4 linked regions of the Struthio camelus genome follow. Each later gene encodes a partner of the first gene's protein in a complex. Links are inferred from orthologs where the notes say so. Each region holds a gene or a part of one and is shown in the gene's direction. Other genes may lie near its edges. The genes, in order: DHX16, CRIPT, SNRPD3 and SF3B5.

What was found.
Region 2: DHX16 (region 1) and CRIPT share a complex: the UniProt entries of both Homo sapiens proteins name them as parts of the minor spliceosome. The link is inferred for Struthio camelus from reciprocal best matches to the Homo sapiens genes DHX16 and CRIPT.
Region 3: DHX16 (region 1) and SNRPD3 share a complex: the UniProt entries of both Homo sapiens proteins name them as parts of the minor spliceosome. The link is inferred for Struthio camelus from reciprocal best matches to the Homo sapiens genes DHX16 and SNRPD3.
Region 4: DHX16 (region 1) and SF3B5 share a complex: the UniProt entries of both Homo sapiens proteins name them as parts of the minor spliceosome. The link is inferred for Struthio camelus from reciprocal best matches to the Homo sapiens genes DHX16 and SF3B5.

What each region holds. Positions count from the first base shown.
Region 1 is NC_090977.1:685,539-693,327, forward strand, and holds the start of DHX16 (pre-mRNA-splicing factor ATP-dependent RNA helicase DHX16), read left to right. Parts: upstream 1-4,781; 5' UTR 4,782-4,812; coding exon 4,813-5,022; intron 5,023-6,078; coding exon 6,079-6,344; intron 6,345-6,954; coding exon 6,955-7,108; intron 7,109-7,789. Other genes in the region: PPP1R18 (phostensin), read left to right, coding at 2,172-2,373, 3,240-3,259. UniProt on the Homo sapiens protein: Required for pre-mRNA splicing as a component of the spliceosome. Contributes to pre-mRNA splicing after spliceosome formation and prior to the first transesterification reaction.
Region 2 is NC_090944.1:108,650,838-108,658,788, reverse strand, and holds the start of CRIPT (cysteine-rich PDZ-binding protein), read left to right. Parts: upstream 1-4,936; 5' UTR 4,937-5,051; coding exon 5,052-5,067; intron 5,068-5,251; coding exon 5,252-5,317; intron 5,318-5,729; coding exon 5,730-5,784; intron 5,785-6,441; coding exon 6,442-6,545; intron 6,546-7,951. Other genes in the region: PIGF (phosphatidylinositol-glycan biosynthesis class F protein), read right to left, coding at 1,507-1,623, 2,449-2,540, 4,196-4,446, 4,830-4,893. UniProt on the Homo sapiens protein: As a component of the minor spliceosome, involved in the splicing of U12-type introns in pre-mRNAs. Involved in the cytoskeletal anchoring of DLG4 in excitatory synapses.
Region 3 is NC_090958.1:8,969,204-8,976,062, forward strand, and holds the start of SNRPD3 (small nuclear ribonucleoprotein Sm D3), read left to right. Parts: upstream 1-3,838; 5' UTR 3,839-3,978; intron 3,979-4,493; 5' UTR 4,494-4,517; coding exon 4,518-4,643; intron 4,644-5,833; coding exon 5,834-6,026; intron 6,027-6,859. Other genes in the region: protein GUCD1, read right to left, coding at 109-274, 1,708-1,792, 3,435-3,471. UniProt on the Homo sapiens protein: Plays a role in pre-mRNA splicing as a core component of the spliceosomal U1, U2, U4 and U5 small nuclear ribonucleoproteins (snRNPs), the building blocks of the spliceosome.
Region 4 is NC_090944.1:84,749,023-84,754,990, forward strand, and holds SF3B5 (splicing factor 3B subunit 5), read left to right. Parts: upstream 1-4,488; 5' UTR 4,489-4,726; coding exon 4,727-4,987; 3' UTR 4,988-5,464; downstream 5,465-5,968. UniProt on the Homo sapiens protein: Component of the 17S U2 SnRNP complex of the spliceosome, a large ribonucleoprotein complex that removes introns from transcribed pre-mRNAs.

The sequences.
Region 1 (7,789 bases):
CACCTCCTGGACCTCATCCCTCATCCCCTGTCACCTGCTGGACCTCATCCCTCGTCCTCACCTCCTGGACCCCAATCCTTGTCCCCTCGTCCCCTGTCACCTCCTGGACCTCATCCCTCATCCCCTGTCACCTGCTGGACCTCATCCCTCGTCCTCACCTCCTGGACCCCAATCCTTGTCCCTTGTCCCCTGTCACCTCCTGGACCTCATCCCTCAACCCCATCACCTCCTGGACCCCCATCTTTGTCCCCTGTCACCTCCTGGACCTCATCCCTCATCCCCTGTCACCTGCTGGACCTCATCCCTCGTCCTCACCTGCTGGACCCCCATCCTTGTCCCCTGTCACCTGCTGGACCTCATCCCTCGTCCTCACCTCCTGGACCCCCATCCTTGTCCCTTGTCCCCTGTCACCTCCTGGACCTCATCCCTCGACCCTGTCACCTCCTGGACCCCCATCCTTGTCCCCTGTCACCTCCTGGACCTCATCCCTCATCCCCTGTCACCTGCTGGACCTCATCCCTCGTCCTCACCTGCTGGACCCCCATCCTTGTCCCCTGTCACCTGCTGGACCTCATCCCTCGTCCTCACTTCCTGGACCCCCATCCTTGTCCCTTGTCCCCTGTCACCTCCTGGACCTCATCCCTCGACCCCGTCACCTTCTGGACCCCCATCCTTGTCCCCATCCCTTTCCACCATCCCTTCCCCCCCCCGTCCCACCCCCAGATGCCTGGGTCCCCTCAGCTTGAAGGGGGGGGGTGAGAGCAGGGCCGGGGAGGGGGGAGGTTGGGCACCCGGACGCCTGGGCCCTCGCCGCCGCTTCCGTTCCCGGCTCCCGCCCGCCCGGAGGAAGCTGGTGGCCGTTACCCGGCCCGGACGCCTGGGCCCCTCGCCCCACGCCGCAGCCGGGTGGTTGGAGTGGAGTTGGGGGGGGGGGGGGTTGGGGCCGGACGCCTGGGCCCCTCTGCAGCCGTGGGGCGGGTGGAGCGGGGTGAGGGGGGGGGCACCCTGCTCCCCCCCCATAGCACCCAGAATCCTCTGGGGTGCCCCGAAAACAGGAACTTGGGGGGGGAAGGGGGGCAGGAAGCGGTTCCTGCGGGGGGGGGTGGGCGGGGCTGCCCGGACGCCTGGGCCCCCTGCTTCCCCGCCCCTCCCCCACCACCCTGCACTCGTCGGGGCCGCGTGACCCCCTCCCCCGCTCGTTAATAGGCTCCCGTTAATTGCGATTAAGCCAGGGAGGTGGATTAATTGCTATGGGAACCCCAGGCCGTGGTCCGGGATGGGGGGGGGGACACTGGGGGCATCACGTTGTCACCTTGCCGGCAGCGTCCCCGTGCCTGGGGGGTCCTCATGCCACCCCCAAGATGCCCCCATGGTGTCTCCATCCCCAGGGTGTCCCCATGGTGTCCCTGTGCCCGGTGTGTCCCCCCCCCATCCCCATGGTGTCTCTGTGCCCAGGGTGTCCCCATGCCACCCTCAAGATGTCCCCACAGTGCCTCCATCCCCATAGTGTCTTGTCCCCATGGTGTCTCCATCCCCAGGGTGTCCCCATGCCACCCTCAAGATGTCCCCACAGTGTCTCCATCCCCATAGTGTCTTGTCCCCATGGTGTCTCCATCCCCAGGGTGTCCCCATGCCACCCTCAAGATGTCCCCACGGTGCCTCCATCCCCATAGTGTCTCGTCCCCATGGTGTCTCCATCCCCAGGGTGTCCCCATGCCACCCTCAAGATGTCCCCACGGTGCCTCCATCCCCATAGTGTCTCGTCCCCATGGTGTCTCCATCCCTAGGATGTCCCCATCCCCAGGGTGTCCCCATGGTGTCCCCTGAGATGTCCCCAAGGTGTTTCCATGCCCATGGTGTCCCCATGCCACCCCCTGGAGATGTCCCCATGGTGTCCCCATGCCACCCCCTGGAGATGTCCCCATGGTGTCTCCATGCCCATGGTGTCCCCATGCCACCCCCTGGAGATGTCCCCATGGTGTCCCCATGCCACCCCCTGAGATGTCCCCATGGTGCCTCCATGCCCATGATGTCCACATGCCACCCCCCGAGATGTCCCCACAGTGTCCCTGTGCCCGGGGTCTCCCCATGCCACCCCCCATGATGTCCCCCCGCCCGCGGTGCCCCCACCCCCACGTCACCCCCCCCATGTTCCCCCCCACCCCGGGCAGCTGAAGATCTGGTTCAGCGAGCGGGAGCTGGAGCGCACCTTCTGCTACCCCTCGGAGGGGGCGGCCATGGCGGCCTGGGGGCCCCCCGAGGAGCCGCCCGCCCCGGGCCCCCCCCCGGCACCCGACGACGACGACGAGGACGACGAGCCCCCCCCGGGCCGCGGGCTGCCTGGGGGGCTGCGCGCCCGCACCCTGCTCGTCGGTGAGTGGTTCCCCCCACCCCGGACACCTGGGTCCCCCCGGGTGGGGGGGGGGTGGACCCATGGGTCCTGGGGGGGGGGAGTAGAGGTCCTGGGGGGGCAATAGGGGCCTTATGGGGGGCAATAGGGGTCCTGGGGGGGCAATAAGGGCCTTGGGGGGGCAATAGGGGTCTGAGTAGGGGCAATTGGGGTCCTGGAGGGGGAATAAGGGCCTAATGGGGGGCAATAGGGGTCCTGGGGGGGGGCAATAACGGCCTTGGGGGGGCAATAGGGGTCCAGGTAGGGGCAATTGGGGTCCTGGGGGGGAGAATAGGGGTCCTTGAGGGGATAATAAGGGCCTTGGAGAGGGTGATAGGGGTCCTGGGGGGCAATAAGGGCCTTGTGGGGGGCAATGGGGGTCCTGGGGGGGCAATAGGGGTCCTTGGGGTGGCAGTAAGGGCTTGGAGGGGGCAATAAGGGCCTTATGGGGGGCAATAGGGATCCTGGGGGGGCAATAAGGGCCTTGGAGGGGCAATAGGGGTCCGGGTAGGGGCAATTGGGGTCTTGGGGGGGGGAATAGCGGTCTGGGGGGGCAATAAGGGCCTTGTGGGGGGCAATGGGGGCCCTGGGGGGGAATAGGGGTCCTGAGGGGGGTAATAAGGGCCTTGGGGGGGGGCGATAGGGGTCCGGGTAGGGGCAATTGGGGTCCTGGGGGGGGAATAGGGGCCTTGGAGGGACAATAAGGGCCTTGGGGGGGCAATAGGGGTCCTGGGAGGAACAGTAGGGGTCCTGGGGGGGCAATAGGGGTTGGGTGGGGGACAGAGCATGGGTGCAGGGGGGTCTTGGCCGCCAGGGTCCTGACACCCCCCCCCGTTTCCCCCCCCACCAGACGAGTCCTGCCGGCGGTAACCCGGGGGCTGGGGGGGCTGGGACCCCCCCGGCGAAGTGGGGGCCGGACCCGAACCGTGACCCACCCCCCCCCCGGTGGGGCAGGACGGGGGGGGGCGGCAGCGGGGGGGGGCACGAGGACGCTGTTCCCCCCCCCACCCTGGTCCCTGGAGCGGGGGGGGTGTTTGGGTGTGGGGGGGGGCACAGCTTTACCCCCCCCCCCCATTTTGTAGCTTTTTCTAGCAGCTGGGGGGGGATGTTCCTTAACGAGGTTTTTTTTTACCTAATTAAGGATTTTTTTTTGTTTTTTTAGCTGGGGGGGGGGTCAAATTTGTCAGTATTGGGCCGCCGGCAGCTGTCCCAGTTAGGAACTGGGATGGGTCCAGTTGCAGCTGGGTTTTGGCGGGGGGGGGGGGCGCACAGCCAAGGCAGTATTAGCTGGGGGGTGGGGCTAAAGGCAGGGGGCGGGGCTTCGGGATCTGTGGGCGGGGCTGTGGGGGTGGAGAGGCGGGACTTCCTGTCGGGGGCAGCAGAGGAGAGTGGGGCCGGGCGTGGGGCCGGCGGCCATGACAGCGGGGAGGAGGCCTAGGCCGCAGCCCTGGGCCTGCTCCTGTCGCCATGGCGACGCAGCCCTGGGCCTGTCTTGTCACCGTGGCAACGCAGCCCTGGGCCTGCTCCTGTTGCCATGGCGACGCAGCCCTGGGCCTCTGTCATCGCCATGGCGACGCAGCCCTGGGCCTGTCTTGTCACCGTGGTGACGCAGCCCTGGGCCTGTCTTGTCACCGTGGCGACGCAGCCCTGGGCCTGTTCTTGTTGCCATGGAGACGCAGCCCTGGGCCTGCTCCCGTCGCCATTGCAACGCAGCCCTGGGCCTGTCCTGTCACCCTGACAACAGAGTCCTGGGCTTGTCACGTCGCCATGGTGACACAGCCCTGGGCTTGTCTCGTCGCCATGGCGACGCAGCCCTCGGCGTGTCCCGTCGCCATGGCGACCGGGGCGGGGCCGCCGACTTTGACGCGCTGTAACGGGAAGAGCGACAATAAAACAAAATGGCGACCTGCACTGCGTGAGCCGGTGCGAGCGGGTTTGGGGGGGGGGGCCGCGGGGGAGGAAAATGGCCGCCGTCCCGTAAATCCCCGTGTGGGCGTGCAGCCCAATAGCGAGCTGGCGGAGCGTGCGTGTGTGTTTGGCGGGAAGGGGCGGGGGGGGTCCCGAGCTGGGGAGCGTTGGGAGGGGGGATAAAGAGGCGGGAGGTGAGAAACGGCCGCGGGGAACGCCGGGGTTGGGGGGGGGGGGGAGCGGCGCGGCTACACGGGACATTACGGCGGCCTGAGGTTGGGGGGGGCGGTACTGAGGGGAGGCGGCGGGAGGCGGGCTGAGAGGGGCGGCGCCTGCGCAGAGCGAGGCGGGAGGCGGAGCTGAGGGAGGCGGCGCCTGCGCAGAGCGCGGCGGGAGGCGGGGCTGAGGGAGGCGGCGCCTGCGCAGAGCGCGGCGGGAGGCGGGGCGGCGGACTGCGCCTGCGCAGAGCGCGGCGGGAGGCGGGGCGAGGCGGCGTACGGCGGCCGGCGGGGGCCATGGCGGCGGCGGCGGGGCTGGAGCGCTGGGTGGCGGCGGAGCTGCAGGCGCTGCTGGGCCTCAGCGCCCGCCACGTACCCGCCTTCCTGGTGGCGCTGGCGCGGCGCAGCCGCAGCCTCGACGAGCTGCTCGAGCGCCTGCGCGAGACCGAGGCGCTGCGCGTGGAGGAGCCGCGCGTGCGCGCTTTCGCCCGGCAGCTGTGGGAGAAGGTGGGCGGGGCCTCCACGAGGGGGCGGGGCTGATGCAAGGCGGGAGCCAATGAGAAGAGGGAGGGCGGGGCTGGTGGCGCTCGGCTCCTCCCCCCGGGGAGGGGGCGGAGTCAGGATTGGTGAGGGGGCGGGGCCAAGATGGGGAGGGGGCGGGGGCTGTCATCAGGGAGCCAATGAGAAAAGAGGGCGGGGCCAGAATGGGAGAGGGGGTGGGCTCAGGATGGGAGGGGGCGGGGGCTGTCATCAGGGAGCCAATGAGAAAACAGGGGGGCGGGGCCAGGATGTGAGAGGGGGTGGGGGTCAGGGTGGGAGGGGCGGGGGCTGTCATCAGGGAGCCAATGAGAAAACGGGGGTGGGGCCAAGATGGGGAAGGGGTGGGGGCTGTCATCAGGGAGCCAATGAGAAAAGAGGGAGGCGGGGCCAGGATGTGAGAGGGGGTGGGGTCAGGATGGGAGGGGGTGGGGCTGTCATCAGGGAGCCAATGAGAAAACAGGGGGGTGGGGCCAGGGTGAGGGGCACTACTGGCACTGGAGGAGCCAATGAGAAGGGAGGGGGCGGGGCCAGGATTAGGAGGGGGCGGGACTGACACTAGAGGAACCAATGAGAAAAGAGGGGGGGTGGTGCCAGGATGGGGGCAGTGCTGGCACTGGAGGAGCCAATGAGAAGGGAGGGGGCGGGGCCAGGATGGGGGCAGTGCTGGCACTGGAGGAGCCAATGAGAAGGGAGGGGGTGGGGCCAGAATGAAGGGGAGGGGGCCGAGCTGGCAGAGGTGGGAGCCAATGGGAAGAGAGGAGGCGGGGCTTGCAGCACCCAGCTCCCTGGGGAGGGAGGCGGGCCCCCCCGGGAAGGGGCGGGGCCAGCAAGGGGAGGGGGTGTGGCATGTCAGGGGTGGGAGGAGCTAGAGGGGGGGGAGTGGATTGGGCCAAAGCGGCGGCCGGGCGGGACCGAGGGGAAGGGGGTGAAGGCAGGGAGGGGGGCGGGGCCAGGCCAAGCTGGGGGCGGGGCCAAGGCAAAGGGGTGTGGCTTAACCTCGCCCCGCCCCCTCTTCTCTTCCAGGTGCCCCGGGAGCCGCGGCCGGAGCCGCCGGGCCGAGCGGCCGAGCGGGCGGCCCGGGAGCTGCAGCGCCGCAACCAGGGCTACCGGCTCCTCGAGAGCGACGACGAGGACGAGGACAAGGACCAGCGGGGCGGCGGCCATGGCCCCGGCCCCGCCCCCTCACCCGGCCCCGCCCCGCCGTCCCCCCCAAACCGCCGCCGCCGCCACCTCCGCCGCCGCCGCCCCGACTCCCCGGAGTCGGCCAGCCCGTCCCCGCCGCCGCCGCCGTGAGTAGCCCTCCCTTCCCCCCATTTTTGGGGACCCCCCACCCCCCCGGACCCTTTTGGGGGGGTATCACCCATTTCACAGTCCCCCCCCCAGCTCTTGGGGGGGTCCCCCTGGCTCTTGGGGTCCCCCTGGCTCTTGGGGGCCCCTGATTTTTGGGAGCTCCCCTGATCCTTGGGGTCCTCCCTCATTTTTTGGCTCCCCCCCACCCAATTTCAGGGACCCCCCCCCCCCACTGGGGTGCTCCCACTGCTCTCAGGACCCTCCCCAAGTTTTGGGGTCCCCCTCCCCTCACCCTTGGGCTTCCTCCAGCTCTCAGGGTCCCCCCTCTCGCCCTTGGGGTTGCCCCTGGCTTTCAAGACCCCCCCCCACCAGTTTTGGGCATCCCACCTCGCTCTTGGGGTCCCCTACATTTTTTGGGGTCCCCTGTTTGATTTTGGCCCCCCCCAGACTCTCACAGCCCCCTCCCACCCGTGTCCCAGCAGCCCCCAATTTCTCAGCCCCTCACCCTTCTCTTATTTTGGGGGCTCTCCCTTATTTTTGCACGCCACCACGCTTTGGGGTCTCTCCTCCACCGTTTTTTTCGGGGTCCCCCCCCCCACCTCACTGCAGGCCGCCGGAGCCCCCCGAGGAGCCGGAGGCCGAATGGGAGGCGTCGGAGCGGGAGCGCCTGCGGGACCTGGAGGAGCGCGACGCCTTCGCCGAGCGCCTGCGCCGCCGCGACCGCGACCGCACGCGCACCGTCCTCGCCCGCCCCGACGCCAAGGTGCCCGGCGGGGTTTTTTGGGGGGTCCTGGGGGTGGATTGGCATCGTTAGTGGGGAACGTTGGGGGTCTCTTGGGGAGGATTTGATGTCCCTGGTGGAGGATTTTGGGTCCCTGGGGGGATTGGGAGTCCTTGCCAGGTTTGTGGGGAGTTTCCTGAATGGGATTTGGGGTCCTTGGGTGGGGTTTGAGGGACCTGGGTGGGATTTGAGGTCCTTACCAGGTTCCTGGAGGCTCTTGGATGGGATTTGGGGGATTTGGTTGGGTTTTGAGAGACCTGGTTGGGATTTGAGGTCCTTGCCAGGTTCCTAGAGGCTCCGGGATGGGATCTGGGGGCTCTGGTTGGGATTTGGGGGCCTTGGGTGGGATTTGAGGTCCTCACCAGGTTCTTGAAGGCTTCTGGATGGGATCTGGGGGCCCTGGATGGGGTTTGGAGGCCCTATCTGGCTCCTGGAGGTCTTTGGGTGGGGTATGAGGGTTGCGGATGGGATCTGGAGTCTCTGCTGGGCTCCTGGGGGTCTTTGGATTGGACTGGGGAAGACCTATGTACGATCTGGGGTCCTTGGTGGACTCCTGGGGGTCCCCAGCTGGGATTTGGTGTCCCTGCCTGGCTCCTGGAGGTCCCTGGATGGGATTTGGGAGTCCTTGGGTGGGATTAGGCATCCCTGGTGGGGATTTGGGGT
Region 2 (7,951 bases), on another chromosome or scaffold:
CTCATTCATACTGTCAAATGAAAAACTATAAAATTATTTTTTAAAAGAGCTGTTTGCTACAACGCATAAAAAAACCTACAGCATTTATTTCTAGTCTATTTTCATGCAGACACTAGTCTAAGTAAACACCATTATACTAAATAAGCATTTTATTTGGATAACACTACATAGCTCTCTAGGAAATACGTGCAAGCTGTCACAGCAAAAATGTCAAAACAAGACAACTTCTACTTTCTATGCCATAATTACATTGAAGTAACACTAAGATTCAGACTAGGAAAGAAATAAATTGACATGTATTCAAAATCTAACTGGGCACAAAGGGACACTGCTGTCAAACATTTGTTACTTATTTCCAGATGCAAAATTCCAGACAGGACTAAGTGAATCAATAAGAATTTCTTTTGGCTAAAAGACTCAATGTCGTAATTAAATTCTTACAAGGTGTCACTTCTGTTACTCTATTCACTCCTTAAACTGAAAATAAAAAACTAGCATAACTGACTTGAGCGAGCACTCAACACATTTTTCCGTAAGCTGAAAACTGATATACTACCAAGGCCAACACATTAAGCTATTATAAAAAGACTATTTTTGGCCTTCTTTATACAAGTTGAAATCCGAAGTAACTCCTTAGGTCAGCAGGATTTTACAACTTTTTACTTTCATTGAGATTAGATTTCACTCTTGGGACACATTACAACGACACTAATACTAACATCATATTATTAGAACCTCAAGCAAACGCGGGGCTTTTTTTATGTTTCAGAGTCCCAGTGTTTCAACAGTCCTGTTATCTCTGCTGCCTTTTTTCACCCATTAGATAGAATACTTCTGAAAAATGCATTATCCTTGATATGTGCCTATATTATGGCTTTCACCAACTAAAAAAGGCTCATTTTACTTTAAACATACTCTTAAAAAAAAAAATGCTAGAAAATTGACACCGAAAACAGCTTTTTCAGAAATTTGAAAAAGAGTATGGATAAGGATTACATGCTTAAGACCGCAGAAAATTACATATTATTTTTACAATTATATTCAGGTTAAAGATAACACCAGAATAATGTTTGTTTTGTCTTGCTATTTCTACTTTAAAAGCTGCGCTTATGAGGATACTCTCAGATCATGTGCAGTCATGCTCCCTTCAGCGTTTACTCACAGATCTCTTCTGTATTTGACAGTTATCATACTAGCATGCACAACGGTTTGACAACAGTCAAATAGCGCATTTGAAGGTTTTTGTCTTTCAAATGCAAATAAAGAAAGATTTAAACTCTGGCCACCAGAAATAAAAAGCCAGTTTTTTAAATCAGTTACACCTTCAAAATAGATAATAGTTTTCTTTGCCAGAAAAACTTTCACAAGCCCTTAATTATGAAAGTGAAAATGACCCATAATTCAGGATGTTTTATTTGCTTTACAAGAAACTCCATGATATATTGTTTATGACAACTCTATTTCTATTATGGGAAAAAAATGGAGAAAATTTAAAGTAGAACTTACCCATTTTTACTAAATACCCGTATCCATGCTTGAATGTTTGGTCCCAGCACACACAAGCATTGTAAAGTAGTAAAAGTAGATAGCAGAACTGCAAACAAAAATGTCTCAGTCACTGACCTACAAAGAAGGAACACAATAAAATTAACTGAGGCACAATTGGTGATTTTCTAAGAGTTCCAAGAACTAGGAAAAAAACTCAAAATCATCTAGAAAGCATGCATTTTTCTTAAATTCATGTAAAGAAAAAAAAAGTTTTTCTTCTTACTCTGTAGAAGAGAAAAGAAAGATGGAAAGAATTCTAACATCCATTCGTTACCTCAACAAAATCTGAAATGTAGCAGCTTATTTTAAATGTCCGATACCTGTAACATTTTAACAAATACAGCGATATCTTACACAGAAGGTTACTACTTTCTAACTGAAGTACACTTGGATATTTACTTTATCATTCCATTTATCTTTCTAGTTTGACTTAGTGGAAGCAACCATGAAACCAAGCCACATGATGTCACCGCTATTCAGTAATTTAGCGCCTCTCAAAAATCAGTTAGGAGAGATGTGAGGCAGCCTTTTGGGTTTTTTTTTGTTTTTTTTTTTTTTTCCAAACCACCCTTAACAATTAAAATACTAATATGAAAAGGATGAAAGCTATAGGAGATGCACGTTTCAGAAACTTAATGGAAAAATGACTAAATGAAACATGGAAAATGTTTGCAACCATATATATGACATACAAGTATAAAATATGTCTATATTTGTACATCTCCAAATATATAGAAATTTTAAGGGCTAGCTTCTACGAAAAATAGCCACTCTTCGCCCAGCCAGGAGGTTATCCTTTAACTCCCAATGTACCAGGAAATACTCAAGTACTTATACCAATATCTGCAAGAAGAACTGCCACTTAAAGAGTTTAGAGGAAAAAAGGTTCTTCCGACTTACTCTATGAGAGGTGCTCCATAAAGAACAATAATCGCATGAAATAGTATGCAAGACATGAAAAAGTACATACAGCATTTTAGAAATCTGGATATCTAAAAAAGAGCAATAACATATCAGAATAATGTTTCAAAAGAAAAGAGAACAATGAGCAATGTATATAGTCAATATCTTATCAGTAGCATCTCACTGTACCCACTTCCTTAGATATTTAATTTCAACTATAGCACAGTATGATTATACGCTCCTGTATTTCCAGACCGCTTTCCCTATGTTTAATACTTCAAATCATTAATTAAAAAACATAACATGAACACACTCCAATCTAAAAATCTTTTCATATATCATACTATTATACAAACATACAAAAAATAACTGGAAATAACAAGATAAATGGAAAAAGTTCTAGGGCATGTTTTTATGTTTACGTGTTACATTTCAGCATTATACCCATTTGTTAAAAAGCATCTTTCGCAGAACGTGCAAAAATATTTAGGAAGATGCAATATACATACATGATATTCAGAATGAAATATAGTATTTAAAACTACATGACATAAAACGTATTGCATTTTGAAACTGCCATCTTAAAATCTAAATCCATTTGAGAAACATCCATGACCTTCTAAACCTACAAAACGCATATAGTTTTCTATGAATCAAAGCAACAGTTTCTGGGTACCCACTATTATATCAAAATAGAGCCACTTGATAAAGTGTCACAGTTTCACCTGAACACTTTTTTTTTTTTTTGGGGGGGGGGGGGAGGGAGGGAAGGGAGAGATATTCCTGTGCTAGTTGGGATGAAACCTCACCTAAAACTTGAAGCCTGCTTTGTTTTTTAAATTATATATGGTTAAAATGCTTGTTTTCCATGATTTAGTGGATTTCATGCCCTGCTCTGTCAGTAAAAGTAGATAGAAGTTTCATAGGAAAAGTTACTGCTTTCAAGGATGTTTAGCTTGCACAACTATTTAAGAACGACCGTTTAAGAGCATTAAATTTTGTCTGACTCAGCAAGTTGGGAGGACAAGACTATCCAGCTGACTTGTGAATGCCTTTCTATTCCACCACTCCCAGGGAAGTTGGGTGCCGCTCCAAATTTGCTCTGTTCAGAGGTATTTTCTTGGAATTCATATCTTTAATGCTTCTGTTACAAATGTTAACTATAAAAATTTATCACAGATTTAAATTCTTCTGTGTGCAGATGTATTCGTTCAAGGAAAGGTAGTCACTTCAGTGCTTTTCCACCTCATCTTCTAAAATCTACCAACTTAGTTTAAAATTTAATGAGCTCTTTGTTTTCTTTTTCATCAGTCAAAAGTTTAAGAAAAGTTTTTCTTCCTTTAGAATTATTAGTAACTTCTAACTACTCAGAAGAAAAGTGTCTTTTCATAACACTGGGATTCAGGCCCAGATTATGAAATGAGTTCTGTACCCATTCAGGGATTCGCCCTGATTTTTGCCAGCAGGTAAGCTCTTGGAGGATCAAGGACGCCACAGTATACAAGCCACAGTATACTGACACGAAAAGGCAAGGAATCACTCACCTGAACAGACTATTTACAGGTAGAGAAAATTTAACACTGTGAAAATATCAGAAAACTTACTTCTCAGCTCATTCATGGAAAACAAGATTTCACCACCTAAAATTGTAACTTGCTTTCTCTTTCACGCTTGACTATTTCAGTAAAAGAATTCAACCTCCCATCAGTACTGCCTGGTAGCAATTTAAGAATAAAAATCTTACCTTGTGAGCAAATGAACTTCTCTTAGGAGACAGATTTGGTTTAAGGATTAAATATAAGATTATATTAAGGGCACTAATGGAAACAGAACAAACGCACAGCCAGGTGAGGTGCGTTCCCAAAACCGAGAAGTTGTCCAGGAAGAAGGCTGGGACGGTTGTTGTTAGAATAACTGAAAAAACACAGAGCAGGTTGGCAGCTAGGAGCCTCTTTATTTCTGCTTCTTTCATTGTGTTCTCTGTTAACCAGTCACCTGCAAGAAAGCAAGCTGTGCTTAGTTACTGAAAGACAGCCAGAAGCACTAGCCAGCAGTATTTTTCCCTAGCTGAAACACACAAGGCAAAACTCTGAACTTAGTTTGGGGCCGAAGAGGATTACTTTGTGGCAGAAGTTTCATTCGTTCATTTAAAAAAAAAAAGGGGGGGGGGGAACACGCAGCAATGCTGTCCTTCAACAGGCTGCCCACATTCAAAAGCTGGGCGGGCTGCGGGCTCGCCCGCCCCGGGCACCCCTCCTGCGCGGCCCGAAGCGGCACGTCTCAGGCCACGGCTCCCGCAGCAGCAGCCGCCCCCAGCTCTCCCCCGCGGGCCGCCCCGCCGCCCCGCGCCGGACCGGGCCGGGCCTGGGCCGCCTCACCCCGCCGCGCTCGGCAGCCGCGAGCCCAACGGTCGGGGGGGGGGAGGGGAAGGAGAGAAGACATGGGAGCCCGTTGGGGCGGCCCTAGGGAGCCGAGGAGCGCGAGCCGCGCCCGCTCTTACCGGCGCGTCGCCCCGCCGCGGCGCAACGGAAGACCCGGCGGGCGCGTCACGTCCGGGGGGCGGGGCCGGAAGCGGCCGTTTGTTGTGGTCGGGGTCCGCCATGGTGTGCGAGAAGTGTGAGCGGGGCCGGGGCCGGGGCCGGGGCCGGGGCCGGGGCCGGGGCCGGGGCCGGGGGGGGTCACTCGGTCGGTCGGTGGGTCGCGGGGCGGTGGCTGGGCCGCCGGCAGGCGGGGCTGGTTGCCGGCGTTAACGCAAACCAACTTGAGCTTTTTCCCTCCGCGCGCGTGTTTCCTCACGTAGGCGAGAAAAAACTGGGCACGGTAATTACTCCTGATACGTGGAAGGATGGCGCAAGGAACACCACAGGTACTTCTGCTTTCCGGGGGGCTTTAACGCTTCTCGTTCAGATGTCTTAAAGCCCCTTGGGCACCTGTATCGTCGTTCAATTCTAAGGCTGAGGATTGTAATAGCTGTTCTGTTGGGTTTGTTTTTAACTGTTGTAGTTTCCTTAGCGTGCTAATTCCATCCTCTGGGCGTTTACTTGCCCTGAACTTTTCAGGGCTGGATCTGTCTGGGTTCTCCCCCGACCCATGTGGAGTGACGATACCCAAGCAGAAGATAATGTAAGGGGTTCTGTCGTCCTGTGCTTTAGTCCTGTGTTATACGCTGTGCTTTTCTTTCTGATTTCATTTACAGAAGTGTAAAACTTCTAAGCTAAGCTTTTTCCCAAACCTGATCGAAACTGGGAAATCTACCATCTTTATTTTTCTTTCTGTAGAAAGTGGGGGCCGAAAACTGAATGAAAACAAGGCTTTGACTTCAAAGAAGGCAAGGTTAGTATTTAATCCTGATTTTGATTGTCTAAAAAGGTCATTTTCCTGTAACCAGGACCTGTTTCCTGCACAACTGGGCAGCTTCTCAAACCATGTCCAAAATGGACTTTGTTTTTAAAATTCTTAATGGGGGTTGCGGCATGCTATTAGTTGGTAACAGTATGTTTGTACATATTTCATGGGTGCTTTCTGCTGAATCAAAAATATATTTCAGTGCTCACTAAAACTGAGTGTTAAGTTTGATATTCGTATTAGAAGAGAAGCTGGAAAGACGTACTCTCTTGCTAAGACCACCTGTACGGTCTCTTCAGCGTATTTAATATTTGCAGGCCCTTTTATTACCTTCTGCAAGGTTTATTTTATCCTCTGTAGAGAGGGCAAGCCATTGCTGGAAGACATTTAGTTCAAAATAGTCTAGCATCTTAATGAAAAGGCACGTTGTGTTTTCATAATGCAGGAAACCTCTCTTTGTAAGGTAGCGAGGGGTCTTTCTGTAGACTTTGAGTGCAACCTGTTTGAAACAATCTTTGTATGTCCCTTTTCTAAATCATAGTTTCTGTTTGTGGTCTCTGGCTTAGACTTTTTAGGATGAGGTAGCGGAACTACTTTACTTCGTGGTGTATAAATACAGTATATTTCCTTTCTCTCTTTCCTCAGGTTTGATCCTTATGGAAAGAACAAATTTGCAATATGTCGGATTTGTAAGAGTTCTGTCCATCAGCCAGGGTCTCACTACTGTCAAGGATGTGCCTATAAAAAAGGTGAGATTCACTGGATACTGAGTTAGCCCAGTTTGGTTTGAAAGTAGTGAGCAAACGCAACTCAGGGTTTGTTTGGCCTTACAATGAGAAGGCTAAGGGGAGATCTAATTGCTATCTCCAGCTACTAATGGGAGGGTGTAGAGAAGTTGAAGGTAGCTTTTCTCTGAGGTGCACAGTGATAGAATAAGAGACAGTGGACAGAAGTGAGAATGGAGGAGATTTAAATGAAACATAAGGAAAAAACTTTCACTGTGAGGGTGGTCAGATATTGCAACATGGACTCAGGTTGTTTTCTACAAAAGTAGAAAACCTGGGAAATAAAAGGCAAAGAGACAAACAGATGCTGTTGTAAAAAGAGCTAATAAAGTGCCTTTCAAGGCAAACGGGCTTCTTGCATTGTGAGAGAAGCTTGGCTTAAGTTGCAACTGAAAATCAAAAAGTAAGAATAAAACCTTTATGTTTAGAAAGCAAGATATTGCCCAGTGTAGTATATAACATACAAAATCTTTCTGTACTTCTAAATCATGTATGAACAGCTGCACTGAAATTCTGCTTCTGTCTTGAGGTTTTCAGTCTCCTGTATTCACAACAAGCCTTTAGGGTTGTTGAAAATTGTTTTTTGTTTTCTCAATGAACTGTTGAACAATTTCAAGCAACTGTGAGGTAAAAGTTGAGCCTTAAGGATATACAACTTTTACCAGTCTTGTGAATTTGAGTAGGTAAGCAAAATGGAGGCCTAAGCTTGTAATTGCCTGAGGAAAAAGCAGCAGCATATGAACTCAGTTATATTACTAATTTTGGAAAATCCACACAGCACAGACATGGGCTAAACCAATTGTTAGCTGTAGAGGCACATCTAGTCGGTATGAGTTTAAATGTTGTTTATGAAATGACATTAATTCTTTCACAACTGGGCGGCGCGTCAGTGGTTTAGCAGCCTGCCGTAGAGCTGCTATTTTTTCTGTTTTCTGGGTGCTCACCAGGTGGCTGCCAGAATCCCACATGAGGGAACCTTATGCTTTCTTAAATTTATAGTTGATTTGGGTGAGCTTGAGGACTTTTTTGTCTGCTCGTGTACCTTTCCAGGTAGAAATGGATTTCTTCATAAAAGACGGAGCTTCAGCTGCTTTAAGTTCTAGCTCTGACCATCAAAGAGAATGGATATGGCATGTTTCTTGAAACAGGTGTGGTCGTATGGATTAGTGCTTCAGTTGCTGCGCGTCTCTGAAAGCTAGAGACTATTCAATGTTCCAAAGTTAACTACGCCTCTACTTAGACCTGGGGTGAACAGCCTGTGGGATGGATTTTGCACTCTAGAGTAAATCATGTGGTATTTTCCCTGCTGTTGTCTGTCCTAATAGACTCTTAGATGAGTGTCCAGTATCATGATGTCAATATATGAAAGC
Region 3 (6,859 bases), on another chromosome or scaffold:
ACAGCAACTGTGGTTAATGCTCAGTAACACAGCAAAGCTTTTATAGCATGATACACAGGGCTCACTTTTAACACTGCGTGCTGTTTCCCAGTGAATAGGAATGCTAACCTGGTTTTTGTAGCCCTTGTCCACGCCAAGTGTCTGGGTGCAAAATTTATGCTTAACACCAAAGTGTCGCATAAGGTAAGCCAGGTCAATGGTCCAGATACTCTTTGTTAACCGGAGTTCCTGGATCGCTTTCTGAAATTCATCATTGTCCAAATGATTCAGGTACCTAGGGTATTAGAAAAGGTAGGGGAAGGGAAACACAGATCTTAGGAGAAGCAAAGTGTGCGCAGTAGCCCAAGACTCCACATCACAGGACGGAAGAACTGAAACAACGGGACTGGCTAAGAAATAACCAAAAAGCAACCCACAAATGAGCCCAAAATTAAAGGAAGGGAAGGGAATAAGGAATATTTAACTGGCTTTATTGTTGACTTTTTTATTGGAAATGTACAGGTATCTCAATTGTTTTATAGTGCTAAAAGTATACAGGATGCTGTACAATAGGTAAGCTATAGTGAGCAAGGGCAGAACTCTATTCTGAAGGGGTTACAGTCTGAATATACATAGCAACATAACAGCAAGCACAGGAGCGTTAAAGACTAAAACTTGCTTCACAGAACAGGTGGATTTCAAAAGTAGGAACTGTAAAGGCAGTTGATAAATAGTCAAAGGAATTTTCTTAGGCACTGATGGTGCAAAGGGCAGATAAGGTTAGGAGGAAGCTTAGGTCAGGTTGCAAAAGGGCTAGGGAGAGGCAGTTACAGAGAATTCTGGAAGTCAGAAAACAGATGGAAATAAATGCAAAAAAGAAAAAGACTGGAACTGAGGAAGCAGGGCAAACAAGGTCAGATCAGCAGGGTAAGAAGATTAATCTTGAAAGCTGAGTTTTGGGCAGACTGGAATGGCAACGAGGGTAAAGGGAATGAAGAGGCAGAGGTTACAGTAGTCAAGATGGGAAATTACCAGCACACGGACTAACGTCTTGGCAGTAGGGATGGAGAGAAATGAAAATCTTCTGCTTCATATCTACTAAGTGGACATCTAAATAGGTATTTCTCCTGCACCTAAGCTCATGTTCCTCTGTGGAAGGAAAGAGGAGTTCAGCAGGACAGCTACTAGTTTAAAGAAAAAAAAAAAAAAAAGGGCAATACAGTGCATAGCCTTGAAGTTGAAACTACTCCTGGAACAGAAACCCTTCACCCTACAGAGTGGGGGCTCAACAGGACAGGGGCAATATATATTCATAAATACGGGATAAACCTACCAGCCACTTGAAAACACGCAGAATGGAAGTAAGAGAATTGCTGTGGTAAAAGCTAGTTCCAAATTATAACAGAAAAGAGGGATAACTTTTACTAGCTTAAGCATGCTAACCTGCAAAGATCTTAGTGCTAGTCAGATATTTTGCATCAATCAAAGCAGTTAATCATTTAAAAAGTCTTAAAATTTGTCCTAGTTTGTATTTTCCCTTGCTCTTGCTGGAGAGCTGTGCTAGACCCTGGCAGCAGTAATCCTCCAAAGGTACTTGAGACTATATGCTCTCACGATACTGAAGTTAAATTCACAGCTGCTTCCACATATCCTTTCTCCCTGGACATTGATTTCCGACTTCCCATGGGATGGGATTTCCAACCCCTTGAAGCCAAAAAAGTTACTTACTGTAGTACCATCCTGGAGCAGGCTAGCCCACAGTCCCAGTGGTACAGCTGCTGGATGACTGGCACTTTCAACTGGATGCAGTCAACTGCAGTGAAAACAACACTTAGTAAAACATGGAGGATGTCAACCCGCATATACATGTTTTTCCGTACCTCAGCATTCAAAGCCAATTTGCTGTCTTGCAGGTACACTCAGCACTATAGTGGGGGAAACTTAGGAACATTTTTTATTTTACCTGATTGGCAGGTCCTTTTTCCTAAGGGGATGTAGGTTTGTTTGGTATTTCTGTAGAGTTAACCCTCACGTGTCTGGTTTAATGTCATATTATTGTTACATATTTGGATCACTGTGCAGTATTTTATTCTTTTTTGTGGTGGTGACACATCCACCAGCCCCTAGTTACAAAGCTGTATCCCCTCCTAACTAGCAGTAGATAAGGCACAGCTATTCATCCTTTGTCATGTGTCCAAAACAGTCTCTGAATGTACTTCTGTGCCACAAAAGGTGTTCAGCCAGACTGTGATAAAACAGACACAACAAAGATCTCCTCCAGCCACCTCTCTCTCACAAGCCCCACAGAGCTGAGCCTTTTCTACAGATGTGTCTTTTTTCCTCAGGGACTATAATTTATGTGAGTAATTTTAAGTTACCGAACCTTACAAATGACACTAGTTGGCCTTTCGTGTTATATTCTCTCAAGGTTTCAGAAAAAGAAAGAAGAAAAATCTCTACTGGAAAGTCCATAATTCCATCTTTCTTCCTCATTTTTCATTTTTATAGGCTTGGGGCAAGTGTGATGGTTTCAGTCTCAGAAGACCCATTATCGTTTGAATTTGAATGACTTAGTGTTTTTGCAGGTGTTACTGTTATTTCAACCTTAATCAGAGTAAGCTAGTCTTAAAGGGCTTTTCTCAATCCCTTCACTTTTGACTAGAAAAGACCTTTGAAAGCTGTTAACACAAGGTCAACTACACTTCGGCATGAAGATAAAAATGCATTCCACATCATGTGGACTGGTCTAGTTTTGATAAAATTTTATTTGTAAAACTTTATAAGTAATGTCATTCGTAACAATAATTTTGTATTATTTCCTAACAAAGCTATAGCCTACAGTAGGCACAAGCCAATATAGATATTTTGGACTCTTCAAAAATATTTTTTCGTAGTTGTGCCCGTGTTTAATCGTGACTTCGAAGACCAGGTATACCTGCTGGTATATTCAGTTGTCTTTGTTAATCTAGATTAAGGTGCTCTTACGTAAGTCTCCTAAAGGGAAAACAAAAAGTCCCAGATCCTCCTCGGACTACCCTCTTTAAATCTTTATTGTTGGTTCTTCCCGGCGTGTCATGAGTCAGTTCCCTCTTCGTTCCTACCTAGGGCCTCTGCCAGCTCCCCAGGTTAATTTAAGAAGTAACGCTGTTTTCTGCCTGATGACTTCACAGACCGACAACGGCTCGTGCTTTTCCAGTTCTCCCGGGTGTCCAGCTCCCGGCCCCGCGGCCTCTCCCGGCGGGGCCTCCCCGCTGCCCCGAGGCGGCCGCCCGCGCCCCCGCCCGCGGCCGCCCCGCCGGCTCCGCGCCTCCGGCCGCCCCGCCAGCGCCGCCGCCAGCGCGCGAGGCCCCGGCTCCCGCTCCCGCTCCCGCTCCGCCGCCCGCGCTCAGCGCCCCGCCGGGGCCGGGGTGGGCGCGGGGGGCGGCCGGGCCTCGGGGCAGCAGGGGCGCACTGACCTGGCAGCGGCTCCCCGGCCTCCCGCGGGCTCTTCATGGCGGCGACGGCGGCGGCACCCGCCGCCCGCCCGCTCGCTGCCGGCCCCGCCGAGCCGGCCCGGCCCAGGGGCCCGCCGTGCCTCGGCGCCGCGCTGGCTCCGCCCGGCCCCGGCGCCGGGGGCGGGGGCTGCGGGGGCGGGGGGCCGGGCCCCGGGGCGCCGCGCCCTCGCCGCGGCGGGGCCGGCTGCGGCCGGGCGGCGGGGGCATGGCGCGGCGCGGCTCGGCGCGGCTCGCCGGGCGGGCAGCGCCCGCGGCGGCGGCGGCCCCTCTGCGGGCGCGGGCGGCGGCGGAACCGTCGTGCCGGGGCGCCGCGGCCCGGCCGGCCCCGCGCGCCGGAGGCGCCGCCTGCCCTGCCGGGGCGGGGCGGGGCGGGGCGGGCCGGACGGGACGGGGAGGAGCCTCCCGGCGAGCGCCGCTTTCCGCTTCCGGCGCGCGGGGCACGGCGGGAAGCTGGAGGAGGCCATTAGGGGCTGCGCGCGGGCCCGGCTTGAGGCGGTTGCGGGCGGTGAGTGGTGGTGGGCGCCGGGCCGGCCCCGGGGCCTCTTGGCTATGGCTGGCGACGAGGCCGCGGGCCCGGGGCGCCGTCCGGGCCCGGGCCGCCTCCTTCCCCCCTCGTGGTAGTGCCCGCTGCCCTGGCGCGGGACCCGTGGGCCCGGCCCGGCCCGGCTGCCGCGCTGCTGCCGCCGGGCCGCGCTTGCGAGCGGCCCCGGTGCCGCCGCCGCCCCTGCCTGCGCCGGCGGTTCGGTGTCCTCCAGCTGGGGAGCGGGTTTCCTTTCCCTTTCCTAGCAGGGAACCCGTAGGCAGCCACTTCCACTGATATTTAAGTGATTTTTTTTTTTCCCATAGCCCTCTTTCTAGAGGAGCTTTGTTAACGTTTCATCAAAACTTGTGGTGTTTCTGGGCAAGGGGGAACCCCCCTTCCCCCCCCCCCCCCCCCGTTTCTTACGCTTGAAAAGATCATAGGTAATGTAGGGAGAACCTAATTTCAAAGACCGTTTCCTTTGCTTTTCCTTGTCCCAGGGGTAGAGCCGCAGCTCTGCAGACATGTCGATCGGCGTGCCCATCAAAGTCCTGCACGAGGCGGAAGGCCACATCGTCACATGTGAGACCAACACAGGAGAAGTCTATCGGGGCAAGCTTATCGAAGCTGAAGACAACATGAACTGTCAGGTATAGCTGCCTCTGGTGGAGGGAAGGGAGGCTGTCTCGTCTGTGCCAGGAAAGGTTGATAGCTAGCTTATTTGTGTTTTGATTTAAAGACTATTATTTTTAGTCTAAGGATTAAAAAAAAAAAAAACCCTGCTGCTGCATGCCTACGTTGTAGTGAAGTGGACTCAGGATTGCTGAATGCTCTAAAGAGCGCAGAGTTTGTTCTTTTAGGGTTTAAAGCAGGCCTGGGAAGTCTTGTCAATAGCATTAGGGTTTTTTAAGACTTTGTTCTATGGACAGTGTTTCTACTGGAGTCTTTCATTTTATTGCTCTGGGCTTAAGATTAAACAAACCCTTATTTGAGGAAACTGAAGGGGTTTTTTGTGTTTTTTTTAATGCACATGACTTCAGGCATCCCAAGCGGGCTTAATTTTGGTTGACTTTGGATAGAAATCATGTTGTCTTAAGTATTAAGGAAGCATTTTTATTTGAACAAGTAAAGCTTTTTTAAAAGTGACTTAATGTGAGAAAACAGAACTGAGTTGTGTTTTTCTAAGAGTTTGTTCTGGCTCATACTGGGGTGAAGATAAAAACGCTGGGCCTGCTTGACTAATAGGCTTAGCATTATGTGCGAAAGGTCCTGGATACCTTGTGTCACAATGCCAGTCAAGATGACAGTACTTGGAAGGTTCTTGGCTTTGGTACTTGAATCTTGGCTCTGTGTTTGTTTGCACTGTTTTGTAAGTAAACTATGCAATTTTTCTGCTCTGTTGCTGTATTTTGCTTATGTGTATTCCTCTAAATCAGTTGCATACTGTATATTGTGATTAGCCAAAGAAAATCAGATGTAACTTACTCTGATTGTGTAACAAAGAAGCATACAAACACAAGTGAGATAAAAATTGCATGTACAGTAGTGTCTTTTTTATTAGAATAATCATGGTTAATGTGCTTTTGGTTTTTTTTGTGCCTGCGTAGTTGGTATTCTGCTGATGCAAGCCTGTCAACTTGCTGCAACTTCTGAAAAGCTTCCATTGGCTCTAAAAATCTCAAAACGGACCTAGAAAGGCTTTCTGTTGAAACGACTAGTACTTGACCCAGATAGTTTTTACTCGGAGGAGTCTGAGTCAGAATAGTGAAAGCAAGAGAAACGGGAATACTGAATTGTGTTGGAGGCCTCTGTAAGCACTGACTGATCTTTTACCTTCCAGATGTCCAACATAACAGTGACGTACAGAGATGGACGAGTGGCACAGCTTGAACAGGTGTACATCAGAGGTAGCAAGATACGGTTTCTCATTTTACCAGATATGTTGAAGAATGCTCCTATGTTAAAGAGCATGAAGAATAAAAACCAGGGTTCTGGTGCTGGGCGAGGAAAAGCAGCTATTCTCAAAGCTCAAGGTGGGTACTCCTTGTTTGTGGACCTCCCTCCTTCCTTGCCTTTAGCGTTTTGCTATGGAGGAACAGGAAAATGTTCACCTATATCATTGAGGAAACAAACAACATAAGCAGAATGATTAGTGGTTCATATATTGTTGGGGTTTTTTTTCCTCCTATGTATTTTTTCTTCAGTGGGTGTCAAGACTCAAATTTCCCAATTATCAAAATGAGCAATACTGATATGTGAAGATAATTTACACGTAGCAAGTAGTCCTGGTAGAGTTATACTGAGGCTTTACATTCATCTTCATTTTGGTGTTTTTCAGTGAATGTGGTCACTGGCTGTTTGGACCACTTGGAAAAGGAGCTAAGTGTTCTTCTTAAGCTTTTGTGGAAAAAATGATTCAGATATTAAGATAATACTTGGGAAGTTGTAACTACTAGCCACTCTACAGTTCTCCCTCATTAGCACTTCTCTTATGTGAGCAGTGTAGTTATAACAAGTTTGAGTAATACTCGTGGGCTGCAAAGTCCTTCGTTAACTTTAGCAAGTGTAGTGAGTGTGCGTGGGGGAGTAACACCTGCTGGAACATATTGAGTTCTGTTGCAAAATCTTAGTGTGAGGTTTTAAACATCAGTGAAATCTCTGGCACAGCAACTCTACCATGATAGAAATCTCCTGTGGTAGAGATTTGTGCGTCAGATTGGAATGAACACAGAATGTATTAATAGTTCATTCTCATCTCTGTATATACTGTGTTTCAAGTGCAAGACTGTGTAACAATTCGTCCTGGTTCTTCTCACAGAACGCTTTTTTTTTTTTTTTTGTGGTAAATCACCTTCTGAACTTTGCA
Region 4 (5,968 bases), on another chromosome or scaffold:
TTTTCACCATTAAATTATTTTTGTAAGATAAATAAATATAGCAAAGAATAGAGGAATTTCTGAAAAAAATGACATCCCCCTCTTCTCCACCTTCTCATCTCCATCTTATCACACACATTCTGTGTGTATGTTGCATTTATATATGAAAATTATTCCATTCCCTTGTTTTGTGGTATTTATGCCTAAGTGTGAATAATGCGGTCTATTGAAGAAACAGGGTGTTATTCATGCCTACTACAGAAAGACTAGGGCAAAATTTAAAAACTCAGGTATATCTTGAAGTGGACAGTCACCATCACTCACTTTGTTGGTTCAGCTGCCTCACCACTATTTCCCTTAACTTTGCAGTAGCAGCCAAGCACTAACGTTTTAGAGGTAATTGAGTTCATGCAGGGTCCAATTCTGACATCCAGTGGCAACTGCTATTCATTGCATGCATCCAATCTCCTGTTTTCCCGAGCATTTGACGCTTGGTTTGAAATGATTTGGCTTTCATTTCCAGATAGAGTATTTCAGCATGTAAGTAAATACATTTATGAAATTTCCATATGTAAACATCAGTTGTTTCAGACACTAATTATTTATCAACATATAATGACTTCAGAGACCAAGACAAATACACAATATTTTGATAATTATATTTGATAATATTCAGTAGAAAAAACTTGAAATATCCTAGAATACTAAATTATTGAGAAATATTAAGCACACACGCTGGTTACATCTCAGTGATAATTCTCTCTATATCCCTCTACATCTATGCATGCATGCATACATACATATATCCCCCTACTCGGCCCTGTAATTTTCTAAGCTTCTGATCGTAAAAATGTAAGTACCTAGCTCCAGCAATCTGCTTTGCACAGGATCTGCCTAACAAGAAAACCATAGCCTTACAATAGATTTTATTTTTCGGTGGAAGAAGAAATGAAGATTAACTGAGTATAATTTAATGCAATCCTTCAAAACCAGGAGCTGAAACTCTGTATTTTTCACATGAAACTTACATTTAGGCAACTGCTTATATAGAATTTTAACTTGCCTGTTAACTAGTAATTTTATTATCTATTCTTTCTTCCTAGTGTTGGCTAGCTTGTCCTGTTTTCCAATGTGTTTTTGAACAAAGCCAACGTACTATGTAGTTTTTGCCCACTTTTTCCCAGGGTTCTAAATGTCTGAATTCAGTGTTCTGGTCTGGCCCACTATCAATCTTGCTGCAAACTTCAGGACGAAACTTCCCTTTTCGGATGTTTGTTTTGAACTAGAATTCTAACGTTTGCTTGGTTTAGTTTAACTATTACTTTTACAAACTCCTGCAGTAGCTGCAAGAAATGGACATGCTTCCGGGCATCTTTTCTATTCTGAAGACTGACTGATGATTTTAATCAATAAATCTCCCAGCTTAGAGCATCAAAGATGGCAATCGGAAAGGAACTCTGAGATCAGCCCTACGTGTCATTGTGTTGTCCCTGAATACCTATCAAAAGTTAGTGCCCCAATACAGCCCTGCTCTTTATAAAGGTACCATTTTACAAAGAAATGAAAGCTTTCCTATAGCCAGAAAATGTCCTTCTCTGTCCTTCCCTCAGCATCTGGCACATCCCTTCACTACAAAACAGGTTTCTCTCAAACATTCCAAAGTAGTTTATTCTAGCAAAATAAAACAACATTTTGCTTTTGCCTGACAAAGATCATCCCTATTCACCCTCCATAACCACATACACAGTCTCTGTGTATTAAACTGCAGTGTTTTAAACTGCAGTACTTGTAGGATTAAGGTTGAGGCTGTAATGAGAATGAAGACATTTTAAAACAAGTTGTAAACCACAAAATCATGTTAAAAAAATAAACATTTTTTGATGAAACTGGAGACTTTCAAATATTTGAAAGTTTGGAGCAGACTTCTGAAAGAGGAGCTATCTGCTCCTCTTAGGTAGTGGAGTCTCCTTCCCTGGAGATATTCAAAACCCGTCTGGATGTGATCCTGGGCAATATGCTCTAGAGGTCCCTGCCTGAGCAGGGAGGTTGGACTAGATGATCTCCAGAGGTCCCTTCCAACCTCAACGATTCTGTGATTCTGTGATTCTGCTACCTCTAAATGTAATTCTTTTCTCATGTATATTACATCATCTCTCTGAAGTCTTGATGAGTATCTGAATGGTTCAGTCTCTCTAGTTCTGTTGGTATCTTAAGTGCTTACTGCGCTTTCCACAGAATTCTTTCATTTGCTTAACCTCAGTTTTTCTTCAGGAAAATTAAACCAATTTGCTTCCTCTCAGCCCTGCTGTGTGCTAGCCTCTAAATGCATACCTCACTTCTTATTCTCTGTTACTTCAGTGAGTTACCTCCGTGATGCACTTTGATCTGTAAAATCTGGAAATCAAGTAAAGTTTGTCCTAATGTTGTCAAGCTCCCAAATCTGAAATGCCTCTGCATTTTCCTGCAGGAGATTTTTTTTTTCTCTTGGTCTCTCTGGAGGCAACTACAGAATACTATTGCTGTTTCCACGTGTGTAAAACTGCTTCCTGCTAAGTAAGCCTTGAGAACAATAACTCAGCAGATCCTAGTAAAGAAATTTATAGTCCTCATTTAGATCTTTGCACTCCCTTACACTTTAGGATATTGCTTTGAGACTGCTGTGTCCTTCATTTCATATGGTGCTCAATTTTAAATACAGGGTTTTGAATCGTCTAGGTTTTCATAAAACATTTCTTTGGATTTCCTTTGAAATCCAACTGGCAGGTGTAAAGGTGCCTACAAGGGCAGGAAGGAACAGATCACAAAATAGCCTGCCCTATTGGAAAATTTCTGACAACGTGCCTTTCCTATCTTAAGACAAGTAATTATAACTATTACTATCATATGAAAGCATATATAATTTCAGACATTTCAAATTTAACATTATGTGAACGCTTTAAGAGAGATGGAGAAGAAAAACTGCTTTTGATGGATAATATTTATTTCAAGCTGTAGTTTGACTAAGATAGACAATACCATTTGTAATTTCTGTATTTTTACATCTGCTTGTGAAGTGAATATTAAAGTATTACCTGTGCTGTCACAAAAATCTTGTTCAACAGCAGCACGTAATTTTGGCTTGAATCTACCCTCGACCCTGCTCAGCTGCAAAGCCTACCTGGGAAGAACTAGGCAAGAACTCTGCACTGCGCCAAGAAAATGGTGTGAAACCTATAGTAGTTTTTCTCAGTTCATGTAACAGAACTAACCTTACCAAACACTTATTTTGGGAGGACCCTCAAATTCTGTGCATTTTTAAAAGTCTTTCTCTATATGGAGTCCCTACATGAGACCTACCACAAAAAGTGCTGTGCTATGTTTTAATTGAGTAAAGAGCTAATGAAAAAGAGAGTTTTGGCTTGCTCTTGGCTCCTCATGGCTATTTTTGTTGTAGCTTGTCTCTTCCAAGTCAGTCTTCCTGTATCACTTGCTTAGAAAGCAAAAAAGAGATGCAATTTTACAGAGAGAAACTGTGCCCTACAGCACTAGCTTTAAGAACCACTTCACTGGTTTTGCTTTCCTGTTTCCTAAAGTCTCCTGACAAATAAAGACTTTCTAGTTTTGTTCCCAAAAACCTATTACTGAGATATTTTATAGTCAGATTTTATAGAGTTTTGCTTATCTGATTCTCCGATAGGTGAACTAAGGAATAACTACAATATCAAAGCTACGCAGCCTGGTATCTGGCTTGAGAATAGGAGATCCTCAAGCATGTATTTTCCAAACACTGATGTATTACAGATCTTGGCCTGGAGCTCTATAATTTGGCTTACTACTAGATTATTCAATTAAAGTAATTAAAACAGCAGTAAATGATTTCATTACACAGTGTATTAATATTTAATTATTTCAGAGGCTAAAATTTATCCCAGCTTTGACTAGAATTCTTCAAGGAATCTACCTAACCGAACATTTGTTGAAATTTGAGGCTTCAGTCATTCCCTTTAAGTGATACGCTATTACACCAGGTAGCTAATGGCTCGATGGATTTCAGATAACTTTAGGAGACTTTTTAACTCCCTCACCACCTCAGGGCTTGCCTTGCCTTCTGCTGCTTAATTTAGATTCCAGGGAGTAAACTAAGAAGCTCTGCAAAACCCTCTCCTTTTCCTCCCTTATTTAAATGCTTCCGCTACGAAAGCAACTTTACCGCTCGAATTTCTGCACGTATCTGACGCAGTATTGACGCCCAAATGCACGCGATATTCATTCACTACTGCCCGGAGGGGTTATCAGCCCGTGCAGCCAGCCCGCTGGGAAACCACCGCACTGCCGCAGGCGCCGCTCCGCCGCCTCCGAGGGCCGCCGGGCCGCGCCGGGCTCCGCCCCGCCCCGCCCCGCCGCCGGGCCCGCCCCGCTGCCGCCGCCCCGTGCGGGCGGGGACCCGGCGCACTACAGCTCCCAGCATGCCTTGGCGGGCGTGCGCACGCGCACTTCCTTCCGTCGGTAGGCGCCCTCCCATCATGCCCCGCGGCACGAAAGTAAATAGCTAGCTGGAGGGTTTTTTTTTTCCCCCCCCCTGCTTAAAGCAAACGCTAGAGTAAGAAATGAACGCTTGAGACTCAAAGAGTAAGCTAAAAAAGTAGCTTTTCTCCTGTAGTGAGGGAGAGCGGAAGGGGTAAAGGGCGCGAGGGAACGTCACTTCCGCTCGCCATTTCGCGCTGCGGGGAGGCTCGGGGCTCGCTGCGTTCTTGCCGCCGGTGCCGCCATGACGGACCGTTACACCATCCACAGCCAGCTGGAGCACCTGCAGTCCAAGTACATCGGGACGGGCCATGCCGACACCACGAAGTGGGAGTGGCTGGTGAACCAGCACCGGGACTCGTACTGCTCCTACATGGGCCACTTCGACCTGCTCAACTACTTCGCCATCGCCGAGAACGAGAGCAAGGCGCGCGTGCGCTTCAACCTCATGGAGAAGATGCTGCAGCCCTGCGGGCCGCCTGCCGACAAGCCCGACGAGTCTTAACCCGCCCCACCAGGCTCCCTGCCCTGGGGTCGGCCGCCGCCTGGCCCCGGGGAGGAGGGGAGCGGGGTCGGCGGAGGCCCCGAGGCACCGCGCGGTGGGTGCGCCTTCGCCGGAGCGAGCGGGAGGTGCGTGAAGGCCCTTCCCTTTTTGCGGGGTGCGGTAGGTCTCCGAGCAAGACTCCGCTGAAATCTCTTGCCTGTGAACTATGAGAACGAGGCCGGCACCGCTGAACTGTGATTGCTCCTGTGGAGAGAGACCGTAGGAGCTGCTCCTGTAACCGCCTCTCAGTGCAGTGGGGAACGCATGGGTCTCCTGTCCTTCAGTGCTCGTGGTCCTTTTGTGTCCTTATTATGTTGCATCAAAGGACTTTCACAGGGACCGCTTTTGTAACATGTCTACTTTTGGACAGCTTCATTTCTCTTAATTGTATAACTTTTTTTTTTTAATGTGGAATTAAAACGTACTGGGCATTTTTAATGTTTCGTCTGCTAATATGCTGATTAGAATTAGATCTCTTGTTTGAAAGGCAGTGCTTATTGATATGTTAAATATTTCCATGCAACCTTTCTTAATCTAAGTTTTAGATATTCTAAAGGTAGCATTTTCCTCAGCCTAGTTGGCTGATACCTGCTTACCAAAACAGTTTTAGGGAGGGTTGGGGGAAGCTTGCTGGCACTCAAAAGGCTTGACTTGTAATTAGCATTTATTATTTAGAGTGATTTGTTGCACAACATAAGATGATTGCTCCAGTGCCCTAAAACTCCAAAATGTCTTTGCTTTAAATAACTTTTTTACATTATCTTCTCATCTGTGCTTTGAATTTTCCAAATCTTGAATATCTCTGTTCCAAATTACTGTTGCTTTTTTACTAATGCTATCTAGGCCTCTAGTGCTAAAAACTTCTCTTAAGAGTACACTAATCAAGTGTGTGAATGTGGATGCTGAGCCCTGTAAACATGGACTAGGTGATGAGGCCAGGGA